4 separate regions of the Mus musculus genome follow, and all the other regions are reported to be linked to region 2. The links are microRNA targets in miRTarBase. Many come from high-throughput screens and were not tested one by one. Region 2 holds a microRNA gene; each other region holds the end of a gene's coding sequence.

Region 1 (7,162 bases), not on the chromosome of region 2:
GCAGAGCACGAGACTGTAGCCGCTCCGCCCGCGCCGTCGCACCTGCCCGCTCTGCACCCCGCACCCGCGCCTCTCCAGCCCCACAGAGCCGTCCATCATGCTGCGCACCAGGCCCCGCAGCCCCAGCGCCGACCCCGCGCCCTGCTGGTCACCGCAGACACCAGCACCCAGCCCTGCCAAGCGCCGCCGCCTCCACCAGGAGCCCGCGTGCCCAGAGCCCCTGGCTCAGCCCGAGTTGGAAGCGCCCGCCGAGCCCACCACCTCCGTGGTGTTCCTGGCCGCCGGCTCTGCCCTGCAGTTGCCCCTGGACGGCGTCGACCTGCTGCTGGAGCCAGAGCCCACCTCGGTACTGCAAGTGTCGCTCCAAGGACACACCATCCTCCTGGTCCCCGAGGGGCTCCAAGACTCCACCCATTTTGGACAGCCTGGATTCGTGGCCATCAGCCCGCAGGGAGCCGCTGCCCAGGACGGGCCCCAGGATCATCTAGTCGGTCTCCAGGAGGAAACTTTCTGTGAGTACTTCTACCAAGAGGATGTCTGTGATGAGGATGCAGACTTGGAATTTCTGGAGCACTGGGCTAGCCCTCCAGATGATCAGGCCAATGGGAACTTTTCCTCCATCCCAGGGGTGCCCAGTCCTTTGTCTCAGGACCAAGTCCCAGGGCCTTCCACTGGAGCAGAGCAATATTCTCCTAGGTTCATCTGGGAACTGGACATCAACATGCTGGGACCCTTCCCTGGCTCACCACTGCAGCCTCTGCCTCCATCTCCTTCCCGGAATCCCCAAGAGCAGCTTCCGCCATGCCCTCCATGCTCTCCCCGGGCTCCTCGCAGGGCCCGGAAGCGACTGGTCTATGAATGAACTGCCCTGCACAAATCTTTGAGGGGCTTCTCTACCCCTAGTTGCAAGGCACTTAGGCCCCATGATGTTAGAATTAAAGCCTTGCTGACCCAAAGGACTCTTCCCGAGGCCCTAAAAGTTCCTAGAAATTCAAGTGGTAAAATCCCCAACACCTGTTTCTTCTCTAACAAAGAAATTAGTAGGTGTCTTAAGTTCTTGGTGGCCTTTAGTGTTTTCCCGTGAATTTTTGAGGATTTGGACACGACTTATCTACCTCTCTGTTGTTCCGGGCTACTCTCCTAGAAAACTACCCAACACCATCATGTGCTATAATGGTTACCTCACTTGCATGTACAGGGTTCAAAGCCATCTCCAAAGCTCCTTGGAATAGTCTCCCATTTCAGTTCCTTCATTGTAAGTGTGATTCATGGTGAAGTTTGCCGGCTGTTTTCAGCATGCGCTGGGATATGCATTTGTTTTCTTTGTTTTTTAATCTTTGTTTAGTTTGTGATTAGTCAGGATCTCATTAGAAATCTGTGGCTTTCTTAGAACTATGTAATAGAGGCTGGTCTTGAACTCGCAGAGATCTACCTGCCTCTGCCTCCCAAGTGCTGGGATCGAAGTCTTGCGCCACTCTGCCAGGCTTGGGTTTCTTTTTATAGTACATTCGCTTCAAGATTTCACCTAAACTGGTGGAAAATGTTTACATTACTATTATTCCACGTTATTGTTTTGTTTTAAATTCTGAACCAATTTTTGCTCTTATAAACCTAATTTGTAATGTTTTGTATGCAATGGTCATATTTATCTTGTTTTATAAAAATAAAATAAATGTCCCTGGTAAAGGTGAGTCAAAAATCATAGCTGTTCAGCTTTTAGCTGTTCAGTTTTGTCAACCTATTTTACCAAATTCCCTCTTTGTTCTCAGGCTAACCTCAATTTTTATCTTGCTACTACTAATCTGCTTTTAATTTCTTTTTGCATTAATACAGATTTAACCTAGGATCTCACACATACTGGGCAAGCGCTCAAATACATGTACATCCCTAGCTCTCTCCTTACTTACTCTTTATTTTGAGACAGGGTCTCACTAAGCTGCTTGGGTTAGCTTTAAACTCATTCTGTAGCCCAGACCCACCTTGAAAATGAAGTCCTCCACAGGAGCCACCCTAGAAGCTAAGGTTATTGGCCAGAGTGTAGCTCTTACATACAACTTTTTTTTATTGTTTAATTTATCATTGATGTGTATTTGACTGAGTGTGTGTGATTTGTGTGTGAGCCCAGGACCATGCGTGTCATCGAGTGTCTGCCACAACACACCTGTGAAAAATCACAGGACAACTTGGGAGTCAGTTCTCTCCCTCTACCGTGGACTCAGGAGATCAGTTATCAGGCTTCCAATTGTCAGGCTTGTAGAGTGAGTACTTCTGCCTGATGATCCCATCCCACCAGCCCCAGAGATAGGCTTTAACAGTTATATGTATGTGTGTGTGTGTGTGTGTGTGTGTGTGTGTGTGTGTGTGTGTATATATATATATGTATATGTATATGTATATTTATTTATTTAACAATTATCTCCATTATGTCTGTCCTGCCTTGGTTCTATAGTCCAAAAACTCTTAGGATTTTATGCTTGAAAATGTTTCATTCCGTACTCATTTTATTTAAACGTGAAATAGGAATGGCCAAGTGGAAATAAATAGACAATAAACCACTGTATAATTCTTAAATGTACAGTGGACTCCAACACAATGCTACATTCCAGATACTGGTGGAAGAATTTGGAAAAAAAAAAAAATACTGGCTGGGCATCCAGAAACTTAAATGAAAGCAGACTGAATGGAGGGTCATCAGTATTCACACCAAAAATAAATAAATAAAAACTAGTTTTTAATGCCAGTCTTCTTAATTCCACCTGTGGCCAGGGCCTTTCCCTGCAGGCTTCCCTTTCAGCTTCTAGCACTTTCTTCTCCCTTTTCATTTGTTTCTGTCTGAAACTTCATCCATCTTGTTAGCATGTCCCTTGGACTGACTTGAGGTTTCTAGCCACCATTGTGGAGGGTGAGGCGTCTCTTCCCCATCTCTCCCCTCAGCCCTTGATCCTAAATGTAGTTTCTCTAGCATAATATTTGACTACTTTAAATTTATTAATCCAGTGTTTCACCATCTTTTTATCTAAATGGTTGTGTAACCAACCAATCAAAATATCACTATTTTATATGTGGGGGTATTGTACATCTTAGTTTTAAGGGTTTGAAGTGTTTTATTCGTGGCCTGCTTTTGTTTTGTGACAAGTTCTGTGTAGTCCAGGCTGGTCCGGAAGTCCCCACCCTCCTGCTTCAGCCTCCCAAGTCCCAGGATTACAGGTGTGTAAAATCTGTAAAAGCCACATCTGCCTTCATTTTACTTCAAATATTTGTTGGGTTTTCGTGTCACATAGTTTGATTATAATGTGTCTATGACGATATTATTTCTATTTGGCTTGGCTGAATGTAGTTGACTGTGGATGTTGAGAATTATCACTTACCTAAAATCTCACACACTGCCTTAGTCAGGGTTTCTATTCCTGCACAAACATCATGACCAAGAAGCAAGTTGGAGAGGAAAGGGTTTATTCGGCTTACACTTCCATGCTGCTGTTCATCACCAAAGGAAGTCAGGACTGGAACTCAAGCAGGGCAGGGAGCAGGAGCTGATGCAGAGGCCATGGAGGGATGTTCCTTACTAGCTTGCCTCACCTGGCTTACTCAGCCTGCTCTCTTATAGAACCCAAGACTACCAGCCCAGAGATGGCACCACCCACAAGGGGCCTTTCCCCCTTGATCACTAATTGAGAAAATGCCTTACAGTTGGATCTCATGGAAGCATTTCCTCAACTGAAGCTCCTTTCTCTGTGATAACTCCAGCTGTGTCAAGTTGACACAAAACTAGCCAGTACAATTGACCCCTTGTCAACTTGACACACAAACACATCACTAGTAAGCCTCAACCCTTACATTCTTGTTCATCCCCAAGATCTAAATAACTTTAAAAGTCCCACAGTCTTTACATATTCTTAAATTTTCAATCTCTTTAAAATATCCATCTCTTTTAAAATCCAAACTCGTTTTACAATTAAAAGTCTCTTAACTGTGGGCTTCACTAAAACAGTTTCTTCCTTCAAGAGGGAAAATATCAGGGCACAGTCACAATCAAAGCAAAAATCAATATCCAACCGTCCAGTGTCTGGGATCCAACTCACGATCTTCTGGGCTCCTCCAAGGGCTTGGGTCACTTCTCTAGCCATGCCCCTTGTAGCACACGCGTAGTCCTCTAGGCTCCAGATGCCTGTACTCCACTGCTGCTGCTGCTCTTGGTGGTCATCTCATGGTACTGGCATCTCCAAAACACTGCATGACCCCTTCAGTCCTGGGCCTTCAACTGCAACTGAGGCTGCACTTTCACCAATGGCCTTCCATGGCCTCTCACAGTGCTGAGCCTCAGCTGCTCTGCGTGACCCCTTCATGCCTTCAAAACCAGTACCACCTGGGTGACCCTTACACATTACCAAGTCCCGCTGCAGCAGGAGTACAACCTTGGCCATCTCTGGAACACAGCCTCTTTGTGCTTTCAGAAAACACTTCCCAAAAGATGTCACCTCAATGATGCTGGTCTCTTCTTAATCACCGCTAATTTCTTAGCTCCAGCTAGCCAGCATCAATAGTCCCAGTAATGCAAAGTTTTTGCTTTATTAGTTCTGGTATCTTGTTAATCACAGCTGATTCTTCAGCCCCAGCTAACCAGAACTACAGAATCTTCACAATCAAAACAGCAATGGCCCTGAAAAGAGTCTTTAATTTTTCCCTCTGAAATTTCACAAACCAGACCTTCATCTTCTGCAGTGTTCTCAACATTATCTTCCAAGCTCCTACACAACATCCGACAGAGCTCTTAACAACGGATGGATCTTCAAGCCCAAAGTTCCAAAGTCCTTCCTCAGTCCTCCCCAAAACATGGTCAGGTTGTCACAGGAATACCCCACTCCGCTGGTACCAATTTGCCTTAGTCAGGGTTTCTATTCCTGCACAAACATCATGACCAAGAAGCAAGTTGGGGAGGAAAGGGTTTATTCGGCTTACACTTCCATGCTGCTGTTCATCACCAAAGGAAGTCAGGACTGGAACTCAAGCAGGGCAGGGAGCAGGAGCTGATGCAGAGGCCATGGAGGGATGTTCCTTACTAGCTTGCCTCCCCTGGCTTACTCAGCCTGCTCTCTTATAGAACCCAAGACTACCAGCCCAGAGATGGCACCACCCACAAGGGGCCTTTCCCCCTTGATCACTAATTGAGAAAATGCCTTACAGTTGTATCTCATGGAGGCACTTCCTCAACTGAAGCTCCTGTCTCTGTGATAACTCCAGCTGTGTCAAGTTGACACAAAACTAGCCAGTACACACACACACACACACAAAACCCTCAGTCTCTGAGCATCTCATCTGTCCTCATGTTGAAAATCCAACCAGATATATGACTGCAGAGCTCAGTTTACCTCTTGCGACTCATTGTATCAGTTACCTTTTCATTACTGTGATAAAATACCTTGACCCAAAGCAATATAAGGGAGAAAGAATTTATTTTAACTTTAACATCCACAACCAGGAAGCAGAGAGACGATAGAAGGCTATAAAAGTCCTCAAAGCCACCCCCCAGGTGACTTCCCTCCAGAGAGGTTCCACTTCCTAAAGGTTCCAGAACCTCCTTAAATAGTGCCACCCACTGGGAAGCAAGTGTGCAAATTGATGAACATTTAAGAGACATTTCTCAGCCACATGACCATACTCATACTATCTTAACACTATAAGATGGAGTTATGACATAACTAATTCCTTCCAGAATTCTATTCATAGTGTTTCTGTGAGAAAACTCATTTCAAGATTATCTTCATTTTCCAGGATGTTTGCTTCTTTGTTCTAAAACTACCCCATAGCTGGGTGGTGGTGGCACATGCTGTTCATCTCAACACTCAGAGGAGGCAGAGGCAGGTGGATTTCTGTGAGTTCAAGGCCAGCCGGGTCTACAGAACGAATTCCAGGACAGCCAGGGCTACACAGAGAAACCATGTATTGAAAAAAAAATTTTTTTAAAGAAAACAAAAGTACTTTCCCTTAAAGTCACAGGCCTGGGCTTGTTTGTGGGTGTTAATTTAATACATCTTACCTTTTTATTTATTCTTCATTGTGTTGGGTTACCTCGTTGCTTTGAAGGGTTTTTGTTTGTTTGTGTTTTGTTTGGGGTTTTTTTTTTTGTCTGGTTGGTTTGGTTGATCTTTTGGTTTTGGAGGATTTTTTTTGTTTTTTGGGTTTCTTTTTTTTTATAATACAAATATATTTTATTTGAAATAAACAAAAATGCTTACACAGCTTTCATTTGCAAACAAACTCCTGCTTGACTGTATTACTGAGCAAAAAAAAAAAAGAAAGCTGAAGCCAACAGCCTTCTGTTTTACCTTGTACTTGGGGACAGGTAGGAAGACACTACTTGGTTTTTAAAAAACTGACCTTCCCCTAAGGCCTGGTCATAGAAGTGTAAACAATGTAAATGAATCCACCATTACCAGTTGTCATAGGTCACATCACATTACCTGTGTGTTCTGAGATCACACACACACACACACACCTGCCAATATACCTGGGAAGGTAGCTATATCACAGTTACACATGAGTTCTAGGCAGGTAGGATGATGGAAAAGATGAACTGGAATGACTTGGTCATCCTGTTTAGAAGGAAGCACTAGCACTCTGACATACTGACAGATGCTGCCTGGGAACCGTCCTTTTCACTTTGGTTCATTCCAGCTTTGTGAGGGACACAGCTATTTATTCGTCTGCTTACAGAACAATCCTGCCAGAGAGCATAAAGCAAAAATACCAATGATTCCTTCAATGTCTGTGTTTTCAAGTTTTATATTCTACTACATTGATAGTATGTCAGCAGTTCTCAACTATGAAAGAGCAATACTAATGGGCAAAACTCTTCTAAAAATGCCAACATCTGTTGAGGCGTTTCTGCAGGTATTGCCACTGGCAGGAAAAGTGGACCCAGGATAGATAAGAATGAAAACTTGGTATAGCCAGACTTGGTCAGATTGGATCAAGACTTCTGGACTCTGATCCTATGTTTTAATTTTTCCACACATTTAAACATAGTAGAACTCTGGGGGAAAGTCTCTGTGTGACAACTCTTATAGCAAAGCTTCAGGGCCGGCTACATCTAAAGTCCCTTGCAAGGTAGTAACGCACCTGTGACCTTTACAATAAACATGAACTCTATTGACTGAAAAAC
Region 2 (7,162 bases):
GATCTTTATCTTGTTTTTTTGTTTGTTTGTTTTGTTTTTCGAGACAGGGTTTCTCTGTGTAGCCCTGGCTGTCCTGGAACTCACTCTGTAGACCAGGCTGGCCTCAAACTCAGAAATCTACCTGCCTCTGCCTCTCAAGTGCTGGGATTAAAGGTGTGCACCACCATGCCCTGCCCATGATCTCTTATGTAGAAATTTTGTCAGTTAAGGAATTCCACTATGAAAATATTGACTATCTATTGCCTTGTTAGAAAAGGATGAGATTTCAGTAATGAAGAGTGCTTCTGCTTGGGTTCTGCCCTCAGGGAATATTTAAATTTGGTCATTTATCTTGAAGAACTGTTACTAAGGACTGAGTTACTTTAATTGTTGTTTTATGTCACTTAGTGAGAGAGTCTATAAAATGATTTTTAAAGGTACTTCACATTTAAGAAGTAATCCAGAAAATAGCTATGGTTTTACAACTTTGTTATTACCTTTACAGGGTGTTTGTTTGTTTTCCTCTACAAAACAAACAAACAAACAAAATCAACTTAGTTTATAAATAAGAGGGGAGGGGTGAGAGAGTTGTGGTGTTTTTCTGCAAACACCATGGCCAGCAGTGTCATGTCAAACTCTGTGAGTCTGACCCGGTGGTTTATTTAAGGTATATTTTATATAGTACAGTTTGGAAAATGTTTCCTTGTATAACTCCATGTGCCGGTAGGGCATGGTTACCTTGAAACTCTTTTCAAAGTATGTGTCACTTCTTCATGGTAGGTATAGAATCCATCATGGAGTCTGTATAGACTACATGCATTATCTTCAGGGTCTTGGAGAAGATCTCCAGGCTCTGGATGTGGTCTCAGTCATACAGATAGTGCAAAGGTCACTACACTATTAACCATCTCCAGTTCTGTTTTTAAGGGATGGAGACAGGTGTGGCCTGGCCCTACAAATAGCACAGAGGTCACCGGGCTTTTAACAACATCCATTCTCAGCCTTCTGGGCAGAGAATAGGTTAGACATCTTTTCCTCTGAAGAGACAGCTCCGCGTGTTTAACATTCCTGGTTTCCCTGGTGCTTATATGTGAGCACCAGGGCTCTGTGCCCTCTACAGTAAACTAAAAATAGCCAATATGTCTTACGTTGTACCTTGAGATAGTTTGAATAGGTATAAGTGTTTGAATGCTTACCTATAGGGAGTGGCACTTTTTGGAGGTGTGGCCTAGTTAGAGTTGGTATGGCCTTGTTGGATGAATTGTGTCACTGTGAGGACAGGCTATGATGTCTCCTATGCTCAAGTTACACCCAGTGTGACATACAGTCTCCTTCTGCTGCCTGTGGATCAAGATGTAGAACTTTTGGCGTCTGTCTGCACACTGCCATGCTTCCGGCCTTGATCATAATGAACTAAACCTCTGAAACTGTAAGCCAGCCCCAAGTAAATGTTGTCCAAGTAAAAGTTGCCTTGGTCATAGTGTCTTTCACAGCAATAAAAACCAAACTAAGACATGCTTAAAATGTCAGGTAGGTGGTTAAACTTAGTGGGTTAGAGGAATATTTATACATTTATCTGGACCAAGAATTATGAACCAAATTTATGATTCAGAGCTTGTAAAATAACATATGATAGACCTTCGGGTTATCTTAGGAATAGTCAATGCTACAGCAAGTATTAAATGTGAGTGTCAGAGCTCTCTTGTACTAATGACATCCAGCACCAGCCTTGGTCCTTCCACACTCATTCTCTGCACAGATCAGAAGTAACTACAATTACTGAGGGACTGTGTCAGACCCCTAGGTATTAGGACAGAAGACAACTTAGCCTCATCCCACAGCCCCAAGAGCATACACTGGACGGCTGCTTTGATTTCTAATGGAAAAGCTTTCCTTTGATTTGTGGGATAAGTTGATGTCTCATTTCTCTCTTCAGGTATATATATGTATTACCTGAAAGCCCAGGGCAGTTGTTGCCTTGGGTCATGCAGAGAATATGCAGCCACACCCATGCCTTAGATGTGTGTAATTCAAGTGGAGAAGACACAAGCCAGTGGTCGCAATATCAACACTTGAGTGTTCTGTAAACGGTGAGTGTGAGAGGTGGGAGTCAGCCAGTGCGTCTCAGAGGTGATTTAGAGCCATCAGGAGGACAGGAGGAGCTGCGCTGTAGGTGTTAGGGATCTCCTAGTTGATGGCTTATACAGTGTACATGGTAATAAGACAGTACGGAGTCTTACACTTTTCCCAGTGTGCCGGCCTTGTTTTCACTTCCTGTTTCGCTCTTGCTGCTTCTCTCCCCTTAGATTAATGTTTGCCATGTGCAAGGAAATGGCAGAGGCAAAATGCTGGCGGCTTATGGAAAAATAATTTATAAAAAAATGATGGGTTAGTTCTGCCAAATTTGAGTAAGTGAGAACACGAGAAACCATATTCTGTTAGAGCTTGAGAAAAGGAAGGAAAGTCAAACGGTGAGTCTAACCTCATTTATTCCAGGATTGGTGTCAGCAGAAAACCAACAGTGATGTGGTGGCACACAGTGAACTGACAGGACCCAGGCAGCAGCGGTTCTTTTGGTGGCAATGGTGCCATGTCATGGGTACTCTCCTTGCTGATGGCAGATACCGACAGGCAAACTGTTGCCTTGCGTTTAGCTCTGTTAACCATTGACAGTAAGGTAAGCATGTCTTCAGCGTTCATGGCTCTTAAAGATCTTGTCTGTAACACAAGGGTTTAAGACTGGGGTCTCATTTTGTTGTCCTGACTTAGACTTGGCAGTCCTCCTGCTTCAGCCTGCTAAGTGCCAAGATTACAGGGTTGAGCCAGCATGCCTAACTTCTAGTTTAGTTTCTTCAGACAGGGTCTCATGCAGCACAGGCTGGCTTTAGACTTGCTATTGAGCATAGGATTACCTTGAACCCTTGATCTTCCTGACTCTACCTTCTAAGTTCTGGGATTCCAGGCATGCTCAGTTAAAACAATAGGTGGATTTAGTCATATTCTTCTGGAGACTAAGACAATAGAGTCCTTGAAGTCAAGCTGACTCTGCCTTTAGCCTCCTACATGAAAAGGTAGATAGAACAGGTCTTGTTTGCAAAATAAATTCAAGACCTACTTATCTACCAACAGCCATTGCCTACGTCCCACAGTCTTCCTACAAGAAGTGGGTGCAGTGAACTCCTAGATGAGGAAGGCTGGGAAAGCCAGAGTGGACACAGTCTCTACTAGTGATAGAAAGGTGCTTGGAGGTCAGACAGGCGGGTTAGAAAGTTGAGAACTTGTTTCCTATAATGCAGGTTTGAGGAATCCAAAAAGTGTATTGTCACTTACACAATTCTGCATCACAATGAATTGTAGGTGGGTCACGTAGGGCAGTAGTTGTACCAGATGTGAGGGTGAGACGCTGAGACGCCCAGCTGCCCATAAACTGGTTCTGTTTGTACTAAAGGGCAAGTACACGCTTCAGAAATATTTTATTTCATGTGCACAAGTGATTACCATCATTTGAAAAGGCAGGGAGCTGATATGTGTGTGTGTGTGTATGTGTGTGTGTGTGTGTGATGAAGAGTGAAGAGGGGGCTTATGTGCCGTGGCACACATGAAGTTCAAAGACAACTCTCCTTCCATGGTGTCGGATTTGGGGATTGAACTCAGGTCCTCAGGTTTGGTAACAAGTACCCTTACCAGCCCCAGGAGCCAGCCATTAAACATACCAATTTTTTGCCATTTATAGTGGCTCATGCATGTAATCTCAGCATTTGAGAAGCTGAAGCAGGAGGCTTGCCACAAGTGTAAGGTCATCTTGGGCTACCTGGTGAGACACTGTCTCAAAAAACCCAAACCAAATAGCCACCACCACCAACAAAGTCCAAAACAAAAAAAGTAATTCTGTGAATGAAAGCTATTTAGTTTACCAGAAGCCAATGCTGTTTTATAGCCCATGTTCCTAACTACTTGTTCCTTCTCTCTGCTACTTGTTATGTTCTGGGTAGTGTGGCTTTTAAATGCTTGCAGTTTCCACCCACGTCCTGTGAAGGCTTTACAGACTCTCTCCCCTTTGCTAGGGTGTGGAGCCAACACCCGTGCGCTCACTCAGTCAAGAGTTAACGCGGTGGGGCAGGTAAAGCGGGAGAAGAGCGGATGTTGATGGAGTTTGGTTTATCTGCTTAGTATCAGGGTCGTGTGACAGTGGTCTCAGTGTTAAAGATACTTTTCTATGTTGAGCGTGGAGTTCAAGGCTAGCCTGGCCGAGTTATAGGCCCCCCAGGGCTACATAGTGAGACCCTATCTCAAACAAACATACAGATACTCACATATAAAAAAATGTTTTTAAATGTTTATCTGTTTTGTGTTTTAACAGATTTATCAGAGGTTGCAGCTGCACATGGCCATGAGGTAAACCTTGCCCCTGTTTGAAATTGAGTTTCATCAGCTTCTACATGGGATTATAAGGACTTGGAATATATCACAGACCCAGCAGGGTTTCCCCCCTCATTTTTTTTTTTTAAGATTTATTTTTCTTCCTAAAGATAACATGCTTAAACAAAGTTCTTTATGGTTAGTAACTGTGATGCTTGAAGTTGGTTATCCCTTACTCCAGTAAATTTTAAATGTCAAAGATATCTTGTTAAATAAAAAAAAAACTATCAAAATTTTTTGGGTATTATGTTTTAGTCATGTCCCCATATTTGTGTTATGTGCAAAGCAGTGCAGGAATCCCAGTAGACAACTCAAACTGCCCATGCCTGTGATCCACGTTTCCCATTTGGTGGTTTCTATTTCAGTAGTAGAGAACTTCTTTCACTAAATACACATGCATATTTCATTAACAGCTTCAGCCAGCTTGTGTTTACATCTGCAGTGCCTTATGTCAGGGTAAGAAGAAGTTGTGTGTGTGTGTGTGTGTGTGTGTGTGTGTGTGTGTGTGTGTGTGTGTGTGAGAAAGAGAGACAGAGAGACACAGACAGACAGACAAGCTCTGTGGGCAAGTGATAAATCAGGAATCTGAGCTGCTGCTTGCACTAGTAGAGTCCAGAAGGAGACGAGAGTTGTTACTGCATCAGAATTAGGGTGGGCTAGAAAACAAAATTCTAAAGAGAAGAGTGTCTCCCTGGGCAGTGAGTAGGACACACCTGCGTTGGCGGCATCAGGGGACTTGGTACTCAACAGTGTCCTGGTTTTTCTCAAGTGAAGTTATTACTCTGCAGCTGGAGTGCTAAGCTTTGACAGTGACTTGAGTTGGGGATTGGAAATGTGAACAGGGGAGCCAGCAATGGAGCTGGTGGAGACAGGCACCATGGTCCTTAGCTGAAGACAGTGAGGCAGGGCACCCAAGAGCTGCTGGCTACAGTGCGTTCCTCTCCCTAGGGCCCAGCTTTGACTTCGGTGAGCTGATGATTGCCTTGAAACATCATAAATATACAGTATGTCACTCATTACTTGGCACTTAGGTTTAGATGAAGCATCACATCCTTATGAGACAAATACAGTCTTTCCTTTGTTTGATGGGGAGCACTGGTCTGTAGGTTTTAGGCAAGTAGATACAAAATAGCAGTTGGACCCAGTCCTTGGCTTCAAATCCACTGCTTTTTCACTTCTTGATGGTTCCTTGATGAATCCTAGCTAATGCTCTTTCTCTTATCTCCATCTATCTGAGCCCCTTCCTCGGGACTCCATTCACCCCAATCACAAGTAGATTGTGTGTGTGGGCATGGCAGTAACTCTCCAGTGAGCCACAGGTAGCTTCTGTTCTTCACACTGCCTCCCTTAAGATTTTTCTCCTCCCTGCCATCTTTCCCACCAAGAGCAACATGAAGCCAAGAGCAGTGGAGCGTGAAGAAGGTGCTTCTTTAGGCAGCATGTATTGGCATGCAGCTGACGGCATGTTAGCCCCCAAAGTCAAGTTATAAACAAGGCACACAGTCTCTGCCTTTAGGCATCTTGGACGTAATTTCAGAGTTAGAGTGGAGTTAGAACCACCATGAAGCAGAAGACAGCGTGTTTCAACAGTGTGCATTTTGCCGTGCTGCTGCCAGCTTTTGTTAGGAAACACTGGGCTAGATAGATGGTTGTCTTAGTCACTCTTCTATTGCTGTCACAACACTAACACTGTTTTCAAGTCCAAAGTTTCTTCTGCGATACATGGTAATCTCTTAACTGTATCACCCATAAGATCAAAATAAAAAAAGAGATCACATCCTTCCAACATACAGTGGCACAGAATAGATGCTAGTTACCATTCCATCAGGAAGGAAAAGGAGAATAGTGAGGAAATACTGGACCAAAGCAAGACCTAAATCTAACAAGGCTAACTCCAGTCCTGCATCTCCATGTCTACTGTCCAACTCCTTTCAGCTTTGTTGACTGCAGTGCGCTCTCTCTCTCTCTTTCTCTCTCTCTCTCTCTCTCTCTCTCTCTCTCTCTCTCTCTCTCTCTCTCTCTCTCTCTCTCTCTCTCTCTCATGTGTTCCATACCCTCTTAGCAGCTGTCCTTGGCAGGTGTCCCATGTGTCTGGTATCTCCAACACCATGAGGTTTCCAATCAGGTATCACCTTTACAATTATTTCATATCCTTTTTGGGCCTCCACACAGGGACACTCCTGACACACCTGGACTAAGTGGCTGTCTTTAACTGTGAAGGAAGATTCCACAACCTCTTGTCTTATATTCTTAACTCTAAAGCCAGAAAGAACCACATGGCTGAAGCTGCCAAGTTCTGCTTGCTGGGGCTGGAACTTGACCCCCTCTCTCAGTTACAGTCTGCACTAGCTTCCTGTTGATGGCTTCCTTTACTGCTCAAGCTTTCCTTTGATTCCTTTCACAGGTTGGAAGCTTAGGGGGGTGTGGTGTTGCCCTGAGGTCACAATTCCTTTATTCCAGTTAGCACCTGGCTTTTCTTTAACCTTGTCCCCTTGAGCCCAGTACTTGGCTCTAACAAATCATTTCCTGGTCTTCCTTTTCTACTCAAACTTTACATTTTGTACTGTTCCTGTTCCCCTTACTCCTTTTCACTATAGATATGAATAAGAGTAGTCACTCGTAGCCTTATAGCAGGGTCAATACCAGGCTGTCTTGAAATCTCCTTTGTTAAAAGCTGTTAATCCAAAACTCTTTAATTTGGCCTCAGGCAAATTTTTAGGGCAAGGGCAAAAAGCAGCCATATTCTTTGATAAAATATCACAAG
Region 3 (7,000 bases), not on the chromosome of region 2:
TTCTTAAAATTTTTTTTAGATTTATTTTGTATGTGTGTGCATGAGTGTTTTGCCTGCATGTATGTGTGTAAGTGCACCACATACAGTGCCCACAGAAATCAGAAGAGAGCATTGTATTTCCCAGAACTAAAGTTCTAGATGGTTGTGAGCTGAGAACTAAGTTGGGGTCCTTTGCAAGAGCAATAATTGGTCTTCACCTCTGAGCTGTTTGTTTGTTTGTTTCAAATCTAGGATGAGAAGTACTTTAGACTCTGAATTTAATGACTATACTTAATATGCTCTTTTAGCCTGAAGTCCAGAGCAGAGATGTTCTACACCATAGTTCACAGTCCTTAGTAGTGAACACAAACATGCTATGCCACACTGAAAAGATGGTTGGTCACACTTGAGTTTTGTTGTTGATTCCCCACCTGCTCTTCAGGAGAGCCATGGTTTGGCATGGCATAGCTGCTGGCATGGCTAGGTTCCCTATTCAAGCCTTCCTGGCCAGCCAAGAAGCCTTGGGAGTTTACTCTCTGGCCCAGTACAAAGCACTGTGCTGAGTACTGCCCTAGTGTCCTTGGCCTGTTCTTTCCTTCACTGTTTATCTAATGAAATGCTACTTTAGATAGCAATATCTACCCTTCAAAAGGCCTGGCAACTAGCAATTCATTTAATTCCCAGTGTCCCTGTTTGCTGAAGTCTCTGGATAAAGACATTGATAACGCACTTTGACAACTCAGCCTTAGACTCAGCACTTCCTTGTTTTTTAATTAATTTAATTAATTTATTTTTTACGTTTCTTTTTTATTGGATATTTTATTTATTTACATTTCAAATGTTATCCCCTTCCCTGATTTCCCCTCCCCCCAGAAACTCCCTATCCCATTCCCCCCACCCCCTTCTTCTATAAGGGTGTGCTCCCACCCACCCACTCTCACCTCCCTTCCTTTAAATCCCCCTACACTGGGGCATCAAGCCTTTACAAGACCAAGGCCCTCTTTTTCCATTGATGCCCAACAAGGCCATCCTCTGCTACATATGCAGCTGGAGCCCTGGGTCCCTCCATGTATACTCTTTGTTTGGTGGTTTAGACCCTGGGAGCTCTGGTTGGTTGATATTGTTGTTCTTCCTATGGGGTTGCAAACCCCTTTAGCTCCTTCAGGCCTTACTCTTAACTCCTCCATTGGGGACCCCATGATCAGTTCAATGGTTGTCTGTGAGCATCTGCCTCTGTATATGTCAGGCTCTGGCAGAGCCTCTCAGGAGACAGCTATTTCAGGCTCCTGTTAGCGTGTACTTCTTGGCATCCACAATAGTATCTGCATTTGGTGACTGTATATGGGATGGATCCCCAGGTAGGGCAGTCTCTGATGGCCTTTCTCTTCAGTCTCTGCACCACACTTTGTCTCCGTATTGCTCCCGTGAGTATTTTGTTACCCCTTCTAAGAAGGATCGAAGCACCCACACTTTGGTCTTCTTTCTTCTTGAGCTTCATGTGGTCTGTGAATTATATCTTGGGTATTCCAAGCTTTTGGGCCTATATCCACTTATCAGTGAGTGCATATCATGTGTGTTCTTTTGTAGTACTCAAATTTCAGTTCCCAGTTCCCAAGTTCATTTTTGTTTTTTGGGTTTTTTTTTAATATTTTTTTTACTTGAACAATTTTTATTAGGTATTTTCTTCATTTACAATTCAAATGCTATCCCGAAAGTCCCCTATACCCTCCCCCTGCCCTGCTCCCCAACCCACCCACTCCCGCCTTCTGGCCCTGGCATTCCCCTGTATTGGGGCATATTATCTTTGCAAGACCAAGGGTCTCTCCTCCCAATTATGGCAATTAGGCCATCTTCTGTTACATATGCAGCTAGAGACACGAGCTCAGGGGGTACTGGTTAGTTCATATTGCTGTTCCTCCTATAGGGTTACAGACCCCTTCAGCTCCTTGGGTACTTTCTCTAGCTCCTCCATTGGGGGCCCTGTGTTCCATCCAAATCCACTTCTGTATTTGCCAGGCACTGGCATAGCCTCACAAGAGACAGCTATATCAGGGTCATGCCAGCAAAATCTTGCTGGCATATGCAATAGTGTCTACCTTAGATGGTTGATTATGGTATGGATCCCCGGATGGGGCAGTCTCTGCATGGTCCTTCCTTCCATCTCAGCTCCAAACTTTGTCTCTGTAACTCCTTCCATGGGTATTTTGTTCCCCATTCTAAGGAGGGACGAAGTATCCACACCTTGGTCTTCATTTTTCTTGAGTTTCATGTGTTTTGCAAATTTTATCTTGGGTATTCAAAGTTTGTTTTTTAAGTACCGAAGTTACAGTGTTTAACAGAATCTAATGCTTAGGGGCAGCTTATGATTTTCTGGCATTAGATTAGAGATGACATTTCTTGTAATGAGTTCTTTTAATATTTTTAAAGTTTTTAGAATCAATCAGTGATCTGAGCTGATATGCAACCATAAACAAAGAATTAGTTCAGTCATGTCAGTTTATAAATTCTTCTCTGAGGAAAATTTTACTCTTCCCCTAAGTAAGAGGAAAAGATAGAGCTGATACCATATAGGGTTTTATTTACACCGCCCTTTGAGATTTCCCTTAAACTGCAGAATTTGAGTATTTCATTAAATCATCAGCTTAGAAACATAGTAATTCATGCTATGTTTAAATGATGGCTTTGGAAGGACCGTGATGCAGAGCAACCATAGTGAATACTAAGTATTTCCAGTTGTCAAAACATGATTTAATTGTTTAAAGAACACAATCTGGGCTAGAACACTACCTTAGCAGTTACGTTGTGTGCTGTTGAGAGGGCACAGTTAAGTTCTCAGCACCCACATGGAGCAGCTCACAACAACCTATAACCCAGTTCTAGAAGAATTTGATGCTCTGGCCTCTGTGGGCACCTACACACATGTGCACATTCCCACACATCTACACAAAATTAAAAATACACGGTTAGGAAAGAGTAGTAAGAAAATTTATTTCTGATTAAATTTATGACTCTGTGACCTTTTTTCTATTTAATATCTCATATTTCTTTTGAAAATGCTTACTTTTTCTTCAGATTCCTTTCTGTTTTGTTTTTGTTGTTTGGTTGGGTTTGGGGGAGTTTTTTTGGAGAGGGTTAGTATTTGTATTAACTTTGGATAACCAATGAATTGATCCATTTTGCACTGGGAAGGAACCAGGAAGACAAAATTCTTTGTTTAGTCAATGCCTGTTTTTATTGCCTGATATGTACAGCACGCAAGGGTTCAAGATGAATTCTTAATTTTCTCCTGAATTTTAGTTTTTTGAAAAGCACAATATACCTCTCCACCTAGTTCTCATGCAGCACTCCCATACATAAAGACATCATACCTCACTAGAAATACCAGGTAGTCAATTAGACATAGTTAATAAACCCAGATCTGACCTGAGTTGTTATGTTAACATAAGCATGAAGCTGAAGGGAGCTTCCCAAAGAGTCAGAGGTTAGGTACCGTTCTTCCTGTGCTTGGAAGCTAGCTTTGGAAAGACAGAGGCTTACGTCATAGAGACAATTGTGAACTTGGCTTCTTCACCTGTGCCTTGAGATGAGGGTAGGCTAACTGAAAGCATGTGTCCTCACCCATACATTCATCCACCTACCCTATGACTTCCTGACTTTACTCTCCTCCCATCTCTTGCTTGTACTACAAGCGGTTCAGCCTATTCTCTTGCAAATGGCCACTGTTTACTTCCTTATCAGTGACCTAGATCCCCCATGAGCCTTGTGTGATCTGATCCTCTGATCTATTCAAACCATAATATTTTAGGTCTTTCTCTGGTTTCTGATATATTTATTTCTTTACAGCACCAAGCTATATATGTTTCCCACTAAATCAGATCTTAGTGTTTTTTAAATAGTCATGTACAATAATCCAAATCTCAAAATTAAAAATACAGATAGCATTCTTTGTACATATGTGGAATGTCAAGATATGACATTAATGTTTTCTTGACCATTCTTATTCTAAGACTTCCTTAGTTCACATATGTGCTAGTGATTACAGCAGATTTACGAGACCAGACTGAACATCTGTTTGTTATCAAGAGGAGGGTTTGCTGTAAGGACATTTATCACTATTTCTATGTAATTAAAGCATCCCATTCAGAACATGATGAAATTTCAAGACTGAACAGGTTCCATGCTGGAAATGTTCACAAAAGTATAAAACCAGTTGAAATAAATGAATCTTCCAAATTCAGGGCAAAGTTCTAACTGTCATTCTGATTTTTAGCTTTATAGGGGATTCTGCACCTTACCACAGTTGGGTTATCTGTATCTGCTGCTGCATATGCCATCTTTTCTGTGCAGGCTGCTGACTGTGGCCCATATTCCAGAGCACTCTCAGGCCCTGACCAGGGAAGCCTGGGCTGGTATGTTCTTTTCATCACCCTGATTAGCTGATTGACAGCTCTTGCCTGGTCCTTGATTTTCTGCTTACATTCCTACAGGAAAGGAGACAACTTCTCAGTTATGTTTGATATTTGCTCTCTGAAGTGGCATCATAATGCAGCTGAAGAAAGTCACCGTAAGGGTGACAGGTGTTGCATACCTGTAATCCTGACCTTGGGAAGCAGAAATTCAGAAGGACCATTGTGAGTTCCAAGGCAGCCTGAGCTACAGAGTGAGACCCCATTTGAAAAGAGAGTGTGTGGATACAAAGTAAATTATTTAATAGCTTCCACTGTTGTATTAAATAATTCCATTGGCTCATCTCACTGAGCCCGAGTTCCCTTTGACCTGAGCACAAGCAGTCTTTGCCTGTAATTCCTGATTTTAAACACAATGGGACCAGCTGTTTCATTCTCCTGTTCCCTTGACTTCCTTGCCTCATGATGGACTGTACTCCTAATCTTTGCAACAAAATAAACCCTTTCTTCTTTGAGTTAGCTTTTATTGAGGTATTTTTATCACAGTAACAGGAAAAGAAACTAAGGTAGATCCCAAAGCTAGAGCTTAAGTCATGACACTAGTATTTCTTCAGAACAATAATTTAAGAGTTAATAAAAGAAATCAACAGAGTTTCTATATATATTATATAAAATTTTGTATAAATACAGAGATCAAAGATTGCACATGCCTTTAATCCTTGCACCTGGTTAAGTGCCAGGCCAGCCAGAGCTATACAGTAAGAGTCTCTCTTAATAGCTAGATCATAGACAGACAGGTAGGTAGGTAGGTAGGTAGGTAGGTAGGTAGGTAGATAGATAGATAGATAGATAGATAGATAGATCGATCGATCGATCGATCGATCAGGTTTACATTAAAAGAAATCATTACAAGTCAGTGTGTAATGAGTGCTACTTTGTTCATTAAACTGATAAAAAGTATATTTTAGTAACTGGCAAAAGAGATGGTTGCTAACTATATAACTAGTGTAGGAATGAGTTGTATTTACATTTATGTCAGCTTATAATTAACAGTAATTTGTATTTTTAGAAGAGTGCTTACATTTTGTAGTCTTTTTTTGAGATAGGGTCTTTACATAGTTCAGGCTGTCCTGGATCTCACTATATAGACCCGGCTGGCCTCATACTCACTGAGATCCTTTGGCCTCTGTCTCACAGCGCTGGGGTTAAAGGCATGTGCCACCATGCTCAGTTTACTTTTTCTAATTTTTTTATCTTGCTGCAGAATGAAAGCAGTCTTGAAATGGCTTTATTTTAACTTTGAAAACTAATTCTAGACTTATAGTGTAGAATTTTTGTATGCCCTTCTGCTAGCTTTCCTTACCATTACCAGTGTGTATATGTAACCACTGTAAAATTATTTAAACCAAGAAATTAGCATTAGAATGGTGTTTTGGAGACTGGAGACATGGATCAAGCAGTTAAGAACATGTACTGCTCTTACCACATACCCAAGTTCATTTTACAGCACACTTATCAACTGGCTCAGAACCACTTGTAACTCCAGCTCCAGGGCAACCAACACCTTCTTCTGGTTACTGAGAGCACAGAACTCATGTGCACAAACACATACAGAAACACACACACACAATAAAAGAGACGTAATTTTGTTAATGCTTCAGTAAAATTTATAAATGGCAGAAGGTGCCGGGCGGTGGTGGCGCACGCCTTTAATCCTAGCACTTGGGAGGCAAAAACAGGTGGATTTCTGAGTTCGAGGCCAGTCTGGTCTACAAAGTGAGTTCCAGGACAGCCAGAGCTACACAGAGAAACCCTGTCTCAGAAAACAAACAAACAAAAAACAATAATGGCAGAAGGAAGCTTGAAATCACTTGATGTGTTGTGGTTTAAGAACAATACTTGAATACAGTCTTATGCATGAAAATGCATAGGATGATATCTCTCTAGTTCTAATATAATTGTTTTCAAGATGAAGATGCTCGAGAGCTGAGTCCTCATCCTCTTCAGCATTGCAGATTTGCTCAGGATGAATATTCCTAAGGAAAGATACACGTATAAATTATAAGTAGTCCAAGGATCAAAGTTTAGAATTTAGAAGCTAAGCTTTTAAAACGTTTTAGCTCTTAAAATGTAGTTAGGGATGACATGGTAACTCACATTTGTAATTGCGGTACTCAGGAACTTAATAAAGAATTGCAGTGAGCTTACATTCACTACTCAACTGAGTTCCAGGACAGCCTGGTCTAAAGTAAGGTCAGGTCTCAAAAGGTGTGGGATGGGGGCAACAGTAGAGACAGTAGAGGCAAGTGTAAGAAATGAAGCTACAGGAGCGCTCTAATGGAGCATCGTTGCAGCCTGCAAGGTGAAGGGGTTCTTCCTAAAGGTTGATCTGAAACCGGAACCTCTCTTACTGAGTAGGTGTAGTCAAGACTTCTCATCGCCCATGCTGCCTAGGCTGGTGTAATAATTAAACACATAGAAACATGCCCCCCACACTGAAGGAAGCTGAGAGCCAATAAATTCCTTCAGAATTTGCCTTAGTAAAACTCTTATCTTTAGACAACTTTTGTACTCTGCAGGTCACTTTCTGTATTACATGGGAATTTCAGTATAGT
Region 4 (7,162 bases), not on the chromosome of region 2:
TTTTGCTATTCATCTACTCTCATGTTTTCTTTGCTTTGTGCTTCCTACTGCTGGGCTAAATCCATGTCAGTACCCAGGATCTGTTTCTCAAGGCCTATTCAGTCTCTGGTTGAGACTGCCTGCTGTAGACTCCCACCATGCTGGATCCCTTCTTTGTGTTGTTTCCCTTCTCTGGTATCTTAGTCAACACCTCTGCATTGTTAGTAACTGCTTTAGCTTTTGTCTGCTGAAGCCACCATTTAGTATTGATTATTAAAAGAAGGGATCAAGGGCTGAGGCTCCTGGTATGTCAAGTTGCTCTTTAACCATCCAGATACCATAAACCCAATCTTGTTTCATACCAAGCACATAACTAAAGACTTACATAACAAACGTCCAATGTGCAGGACAAAGGTTAAGGAAGCCAGTGCATGCTTCTGGTAGAATGTTGGATCAGTCTACAGAATGTTGGTAACTTAATGGCACTGCTGCTACTGGTCATGAAGAGGCCCAAACTGCCTCACTGGTTTAAGTTACTTGGGCAAGATGCCCAAGTTCAGCCTCCTTTATTATAGATAATTTGGAGTGGCTCTACAAGGCTTACAGATCAGTTATTGGAGGATGGGTCTTTGTGTGTGTGTGTGTTCATGAAATTACTGACTAGTCTCTTCCTCCACAGGAAGAGAACAGGCCAGTAGGTGGGTTTTCTCTTCGTGGTTCCCTTGTGTCTGCTCTGGAGGATAATGGTGTTCCTACTGGTAAGCTACAACTTCTGCTCTGGCTTAAAGATCCCTGGGGCCACCATCTGCATGTTATTGATGGCCTTGGAAGGAAACCCTGAGCAGAACTTTTCTCAGTGAGTCAATGATGTCATTTTTGACACCCATTTAAAAAATTAAGTAAAAGGTTATATGGGATGTTCTTGCTGTTTCAAGAATCAACAGAACAATCCTTTCTTTTGATATTCTTTACTCTCAGTTTCTGTGCTGATGGCCTGTAAACGTCCATCTAAGTTACAGCTAAGGGACACGGTGTTTTCATGTTAAAGAATGCCGTCATTTTCTGTTTGTACTGATTTTACAATCCCCAGCTATGGTAGGAAAGTAGCAACATTTTGACTTGTAGGTATAGAAACTGAAGTTCAAAACCAGTCCAAAGTAAACATCAAATTATGTGCTTCTTTAAAACATACATTTAGGAGATTCTTTGATGTGAAACTGTAGGTCTGTGAGTAGCACAGGAGCAAGCAAGCAAGCTGCAAACTTTTAGAATAACCACTGGCAGACCTTATGGCTATAGGGAGTGGAAATACAAGCTGGAAGTTGACATGGATATTCAATACTTTTCCTCTCCCCTGTGTAGGAGTTAAAGGGAATGTCCAAGGAAATCTCTTCAAAGTGATTACGAAGGATGACACACACTATTATATCCAGGCCAGCAGCAAGGCTGAGCGAGCAGAATGGATTGAAGCTATCAAGAAGCTAACATGATCTAAAGGAGCGGGACCAGGGTTCTCATCATTGGATACAGATAAGACTTCCTGGAGAACTGGAGTACAAGATACTGGGCTGGGGATGTGGCTCAGTGGTGGAGGACTTGCCTGGCCATCCTGAGTTCAATTCTTGGTACTGTTAAAAAAACAAAACAACAACAAAAAAACCTTATCATTATAAATGTTGCATGGCTTTGGAGTAAGACTGCCCAAAGTGGCTCCTCAGATGACAGCGGGGATGCGATGATTTCCTTCTGCCTTCCTATGACCAACTTTAAAAGATGGACCAGCTGTTAGGTGGGCAGCATCTTGACTTTGCTCTTCAGGACAGAAATCTGTCTTTGGGGACAATAGTAGTACCTCTTTCTCTGTTGGAACACTAACTCCGGTTTTCTGTATTAAATACTCTAGTCTCAAGACTCTCTCTCAACTGATTTCAACAACTCAGTATCTCTGGGATTAATAAAGAATGACATCTGTCCCTGACTGTTATGGTTCTTGTAGTTAGTTCTCTGGTTCCCACAGGTTTCTAACCTGTGAGGCCCTATGTATTACGGAAGCTGGTTGTGGAGGAATCTCTGGTGATCTGTCACCAGGATGATGTTTCTCACTTTAAAGTGGGGATGCTGACAAACAGATGTCTGTTCAGAGGATACTGTTTGTCTTGTACTGTAAGACAGTAGGTATCACAAGTTGCAGATGTCATACTCTTGAAATCTGTCGCAGATATTTTTTAAAAGGCAGAAATACAGCTTTTTTTTTTTTTTTTATATAAAATGGACATTTAGAAAGATGTGGAGCCTCAGCTCTCCAAACGACAAGGATACAAATGACAAAAGTTAACTCAAGGTATAAAACTTTGGTCTAAAAATGAACATTAGCTCATCCCCAGTTGGGGGTTAAAGTGACAAGTCTGTATCATACAGTGTTTTTATAAATATTTTTTATTAAATGTATACAGTGATCTGGCAGTGATGGCCAGGATTCTTGCCAAGGACAATGGCTTGGACTTTAATAGATAAAATACATGACTTACATTTAAGGGGAGTGGATATTTCTAAAGTGTCTAAGTAAAAACTTCTCTTAAAATAGATTTCCTCTTAACGTCTGGAATATCTGACCCCGTGTTTGGAATCCCAAGAACTTGTCTGTTTCTCCCTTTACTCCTTACTTTGTAAGAGACTGCCTTTTCAAGCACCGTTTTTTTCATTTGGCATCTTTCCAGGTTTAATGTACCTAGAGTTACTTTTAGAATGTTGACAGGTGCTTATCGGAATTAAACTACATTTGGCTTGATAGCTTCCTGCTTCCCATAGCTATGGGTGAGAGGATTCTCAAGGGTTCTAAAACAGATGAGCACTGGCTTGAGACAAAGCAGTGGAGCTGGCAAGGTCTAGCTAGACCCAGCTTTTTTTCATGCCTACTCATTTTAATTGTTCTCGTTGTAAAAAAAAAAAAAAAAAAATGCCCAGGACACAAATGGGCTGGTGTACAATAGCTAAGTAGTGGCCCAAAGATCAGCACATCTCTAGAGCTCCAGTTAAGAACCTGAACATCTTGAAATACCCCCCCCCACACACAACCCCAATCAACCAAACAAAATAAACCCCCCAAAACTTGGAACATATTCATGAAAATTGGCTATGTTTGGTTATAAAACTAATTAAAAAAAGCAGTTTCAATGTTTCGTTTTAGTTAGTTTCAAATCATTGTTAGGAGTCATGAAGTCTATTTATTTTGTTGTATAAATTAAGGACCATATGACTGTAATCGATGGCAGAAGGAAAACAGAACTATTAGCATTTTTAATGAGAAGGCTTTGGTGGGAGAACCAAGATATGTAAGTTCTGTGTGTTGTTTACACTGTTCAGTCTCACAGCTGGGTGAGTCTGCCTGGCCTAATGTGTCTTAGTTTGTTCTTTTCATCACAGGATCACTGCAGTATTGATCTCCCAGGCTAGTCAGCATTTTACACAACTGTAGAACCTAGCAACAAAGCTCAGATAGATTAAAATCTATCACGGAGCCATAAGCTATTTCTAATTCTTTGAGACAGTGTTTCTCTGTGTAGCCTGGCTGATTTGGAACTTGCTTTGTAGACCCAGTCTTGAGACTGCTCTGATTTAAGGTGTGCACTACCATGGCTGGCTGGCTTAAATTTTTTTTTGGAGACAGGGTTTCTCTGTGTAACAGCGCTGGAACTTGCTTTGAAAACTAGGCTAGCCTCCCAAGTACTGGAATTAAAGATATATGCCACCAACCTGACTAAATTGTTCTCTTAAATATAAAACTTTTCAGTAAACAATCCCTAGGAAAAGGGCGCTTGCTATACTTGATAATACATTTTTTCTTCTGTGGTAATGGGGATTGATCCCAGGGCCTTGACTTGCTAGCTATGCACCAGGCCAACTTAGCTATATTTCTAAATCCTTAAAATATGTGTATTCTGTCTCTGAATTATCTGAGATTACAGTTACTATTGCAGCTTTGGTAACACCTTCATGTTCTTTTATAAACTTGAAAAAAAAATTGAGACAGTCTCACTATGCAGTCTTAGGTGACCTGTAACTTGGTATATATAGACCAGCTATGCCTTGAACTCAGAGATCCAACTGCCACTGTCTATGATGGGACTAAAGGCATGCACTACCATACCTGGCCCTAAACTTGCTTCTTGATGCATGACCAGTGGTTGTTCTAGACCATCAAAAACCAGATATTTATATTATGATTCATAATAGTAGCAAAATTAAAGTTATGAAGTGGTAACAAAAATAACTTTATGGTTGGGGGGTCACCTCAATGTGAAGACCTGTATCGACAGGTCCCAGCATTAGGAAGGTTGAGAACCACTGCTGTAGTCAGCCAATCTGGAGTACATTCAGAGTCCCTAAATACTAGCAACATGGTATGCAGACTAGCAAGCATGGCTCCTCGGAAATGGGTCACACAAGGTTAGACCAGTAGATTAAACAAAAGAACTTTCATAAATGGCATAAAACATCTCTCAACATTCTAATTTCCAATCCTTTTGATACAGAGTCTTGCAGTGGTTGTCCAGGCTGATCAGCAACTCTTGGCTCAAGGAATTTTCCCTCCTCAACTTTCCAAGTACTGGAGCCATCAGCATGTGCTTCTGTACCCAACTCTAGAACTCTTCCCATGATGTCTAGTCCTGGACTGACTTAGTTTCAAGTTTGCTTACAGATAATAAATAGTATACATATCCTAAGATAAGCATGCCAAACTAAATGAAGACTTTCTACATGTGATATTGTAGCTGTAACTTTGTGTTATTTGAAAAAATTATTTTGCACATTAACCTTTAAAGTAGCTAGTTTGAGAAGGTAAAAATGGGATTAAAAATTTTGTTAAATCACATCATGTGTGGTTTATATATATATAAAACCATGTATGTATATATACACACACACACACACATACACACAACTCAAGAATTAGGTAGCACCTACCAGATAGAGGAAACTGTCCCCTTCAGATGGGTGATGCTGCTCAAAATAACTCCATCAAAGCAGCAGCACATTAAAATACCCCTTGAATTATGAATTCAAGGTAAGTAGCTTAGAATAAACCAAAGGGACTGAGTGTGATGACTTCTCACACAAGTTATCACTGCTTTCAAGTAAGTTAACAGGCACATAAATCTTTAATTGATTTCAAGGTTTTTCTCTACCAGGGGTCAAATTCCTAATTTCTTCTCTAACATTCCTTTGGAGAGTCTGTTCCTGCATAAGTCATTTAGTTACTTGCCCATTGAGTTCTACCATATGAAGATAATTAGGATCTGAGCATTCAGATTGGCTTTAACTTGTGACAAGAAGGAAGAAGCCTACAATTAAATATCCCAGAAATTTATTTGATGTTTGCTTGAATACATTTTATATAGAAAGATTGGGATTGTTTGTGTTTGGAGTCCCTGGTAAATCTCTGAACCATAAGGGTGCCATTCCAGAGACATGAGAAATGGAAACTGTAGGCCCAATATTAGGACTGCTGTTTAAGATTTGTCTCTGGTCAAATCAAGCCACTCCCTTGAAAAATGCTTGAGGTGTTAGAGCCACTATGTGGAAACAGCTGACATGAAGGAGGGCATTTAGATTCTGGCTTGTTGAATACTTAAATACTTGGAAATAAAAATATTCAGCTTTGAAGTTTTCAATACTGGAAAACTCTCAAGTCTAGGGTTGACAGCCAGGAAGGGCTGCTTCGTACTCCTTAAATTGGACTGTTTGCCAAAACGTTAATCTTCAGCTTTGGCTTCCATTTCTTCTGCATCATCATCTCCATCCACTTCTGCATTTTCTCTCTCCAGCCGTTCCAGCTGCCTTGCAAGTTCAGTCTCATCTGTATCTGTGACCACTTTGGGCTGTGGAAGAGGCACAATTTCAAAATAAAGTAAACAGCAGAGTAGATTTGACTTCAATAGTATTACTGACCAATGTTTAAAATTTAACAACAAAAAATTCATTTCTAACAAAATTCAGTCATACCTGTGCTGACTCACCACTGAATAAGTTCTATCAGCTGAAAGTTAAGAAAATTCAAGACCATCCAAGGAAGCAGTATACACTACAGTGGAATAATACTTCCTGCCATTTTAATAAGCTCAACTGAAAACGAGTTCACTGATCACAGCAGAAGACCACCAAATGGCCTGTTGTTTTTTTGTTTTTTTTTAAAATGAATATTTTGGGCTCCAGATAAATTATTATCCTTCCTCAGAGATCGAAACATCTATACACACAGATATACAGCATATGGAAATTAGGTCTTGTTCATATTGAGAGAAAGACAGATTATTTTATGTTTGAAACAGGATTCCCTATGTAAATAACAAGCCAGTACTTCTGCCTCTGCCTCCCAATGCTGAAATTATAGGTTTGTGTCATACTATGCCCAGCAAATTTTTCTCCATGAGGGGAAAACCCCAGCACTAGCACAAATGTCTATCCCATATGGCATTCCAGTGCTAACAGTGTTTTATTACAGACAAAACCCTTTTTAGAAATATTCTGTACAAACAATTACTCAAATTTTTTATTCCCAACTATATGTGACTGGGCAGGTAGCTTTGATATGCTGATAAGGCAGCCTCTGAACTTCAGGCAATCATTCTGGTCTCAGTTTCCCAAGTGCAGAGACAATCGGCACAAACCATCACATCCAACTCAATCACATCCAAACGACAATACTTGTGTGTGTGGGAATGCATTGCCACGGTGTGCTTTTCAAATTTTAGGAGTCATTTTCTCTAACATAAAGGTCCTGGACACCAGATTCTAAGTCACCATGTTTGGCAGCCAGGGCCTTTACTACTGAGCCATTTTTTGCTGGCACCCTATCTGACATTTTCAAAAGCACTAAGAAGTTGAAAAGGTGAAGTAATTTCTGCATAAGCCCTACCACCAGCCATAGGTAAAGCTGGACATAGTGGAATGTACCTGTGACCTAGAGGTAGGAGTGATGACAGGGGCATCTTCAGCTCTAGGTTCAGGGAGTCTCAAGAAAACAAGATAAAGGATATCCAACACTAATCTGACCTTCATATGTGCACCCAGGGGTCAGTGTACCTGGGCATACATACTAAAAAAAAAAAATGAAGTTAAGTAGATAGGCAGTCATCAGGCAGTTCAAGGCTAGCCTTGACTACAAAGTGAGCTGAAAACTAGC

What was found. Region 2 holds the annotated microRNA mmu-miR-1839-5p (AAGGUAGAUAGAACAGGUCUUG, at 3,048-3,069, shown strand). A microRNA usually pairs through its seed, bases 2 to 8, with sites in the 3' UTR of a target mRNA and lowers its output. Matches are read on the target gene's strand: a 7mer-m8 pairs with bases 2 to 8, a 7mer-A1 pairs with bases 2 to 7 and ends in A, and an 8mer does both.
Region 1: miRTarBase lists Prr23a3 as a target of mmu-miR-1839-5p. Seed matches in the 3' UTR shown: 7mer-m8 at 1,111-1,117 and 7mer-m8 at 1,428-1,434.
Region 3: the mRNA of Ecm2 is a reported target of mmu-miR-1839-5p. Seed matches in the 3' UTR shown: 8mer at 5,212-5,219, 7mer-A1 at 5,208-5,214, 7mer-A1 at 5,204-5,210, 7mer-A1 at 5,200-5,206, 7mer-A1 at 5,196-5,202, 7mer-A1 at 5,192-5,198 and 3 more.
Region 4: the mRNA of Eif2s1 is a reported target of mmu-miR-1839-5p. Seed matches in the 3' UTR shown: 7mer-A1 at 4,931-4,937.

Annotation. Positions count from the first base shown.
Region 1 is chr9:98,864,898-98,872,059 of GRCm38, forward strand. It overlaps Prr23a3 (proline rich 23A, member 3), which reads left to right. Exons shown (of 1, transcript NM_028033.1): 1 at 1-1,683. The coding sequence starts at 98. The coding sequence ends at 862. It also overlaps the pseudogene Gm5920. Among named protein-coding and RNA genes, the nearest start is that of Prr23a3, 3.7 kb to the left of the region's middle.
Region 2 is chr7:81,526,872-81,534,033 of GRCm38, forward strand. It overlaps Mir1839 (microRNA 1839), which reads left to right and starts at 3,045; the gene lies at 3,045-3,117. It overlaps 2900076A07Rik (RIKEN cDNA 2900076A07 gene), which reads left to right. Exons shown (of 4, transcript NR_160675.1): 2 at 1,916-2,069; 3 at 2,476-2,656; 4 at 4,340-4,627.
Region 3 is chr13:49,530,684-49,537,683 of GRCm38, reverse strand. Ecm2 (extracellular matrix protein 2, female organ and adipocyte specific) reads right to left here. Exons shown (of 10, transcript NM_001012324.3): 10 at 4,895-6,421. The coding sequence ends at 6,253. The region is part of intron 5 of Cenpp (centromere protein P); the gene reads left to right. Among named protein-coding and RNA genes, the nearest start is that of Aspn, 10 kb to the left of the region's middle.
Region 4 is chr12:78,883,487-78,890,648 of GRCm38, reverse strand. Eif2s1 (eukaryotic translation initiation factor 2, subunit 1 alpha) reads right to left here. Exons shown (of 8, transcript NM_026114.3): 8 at 3,639-5,858. The coding sequence ends at 5,733. Plek2 (pleckstrin 2) reads left to right here. Exons shown (of 9, transcript NM_013738.3): 8 at 659-737; 9 at 1,342-1,952. The coding sequence ends at 1,469. Among named protein-coding and RNA genes, the nearest start is that of Plek2, 20 kb to the left of the region's middle.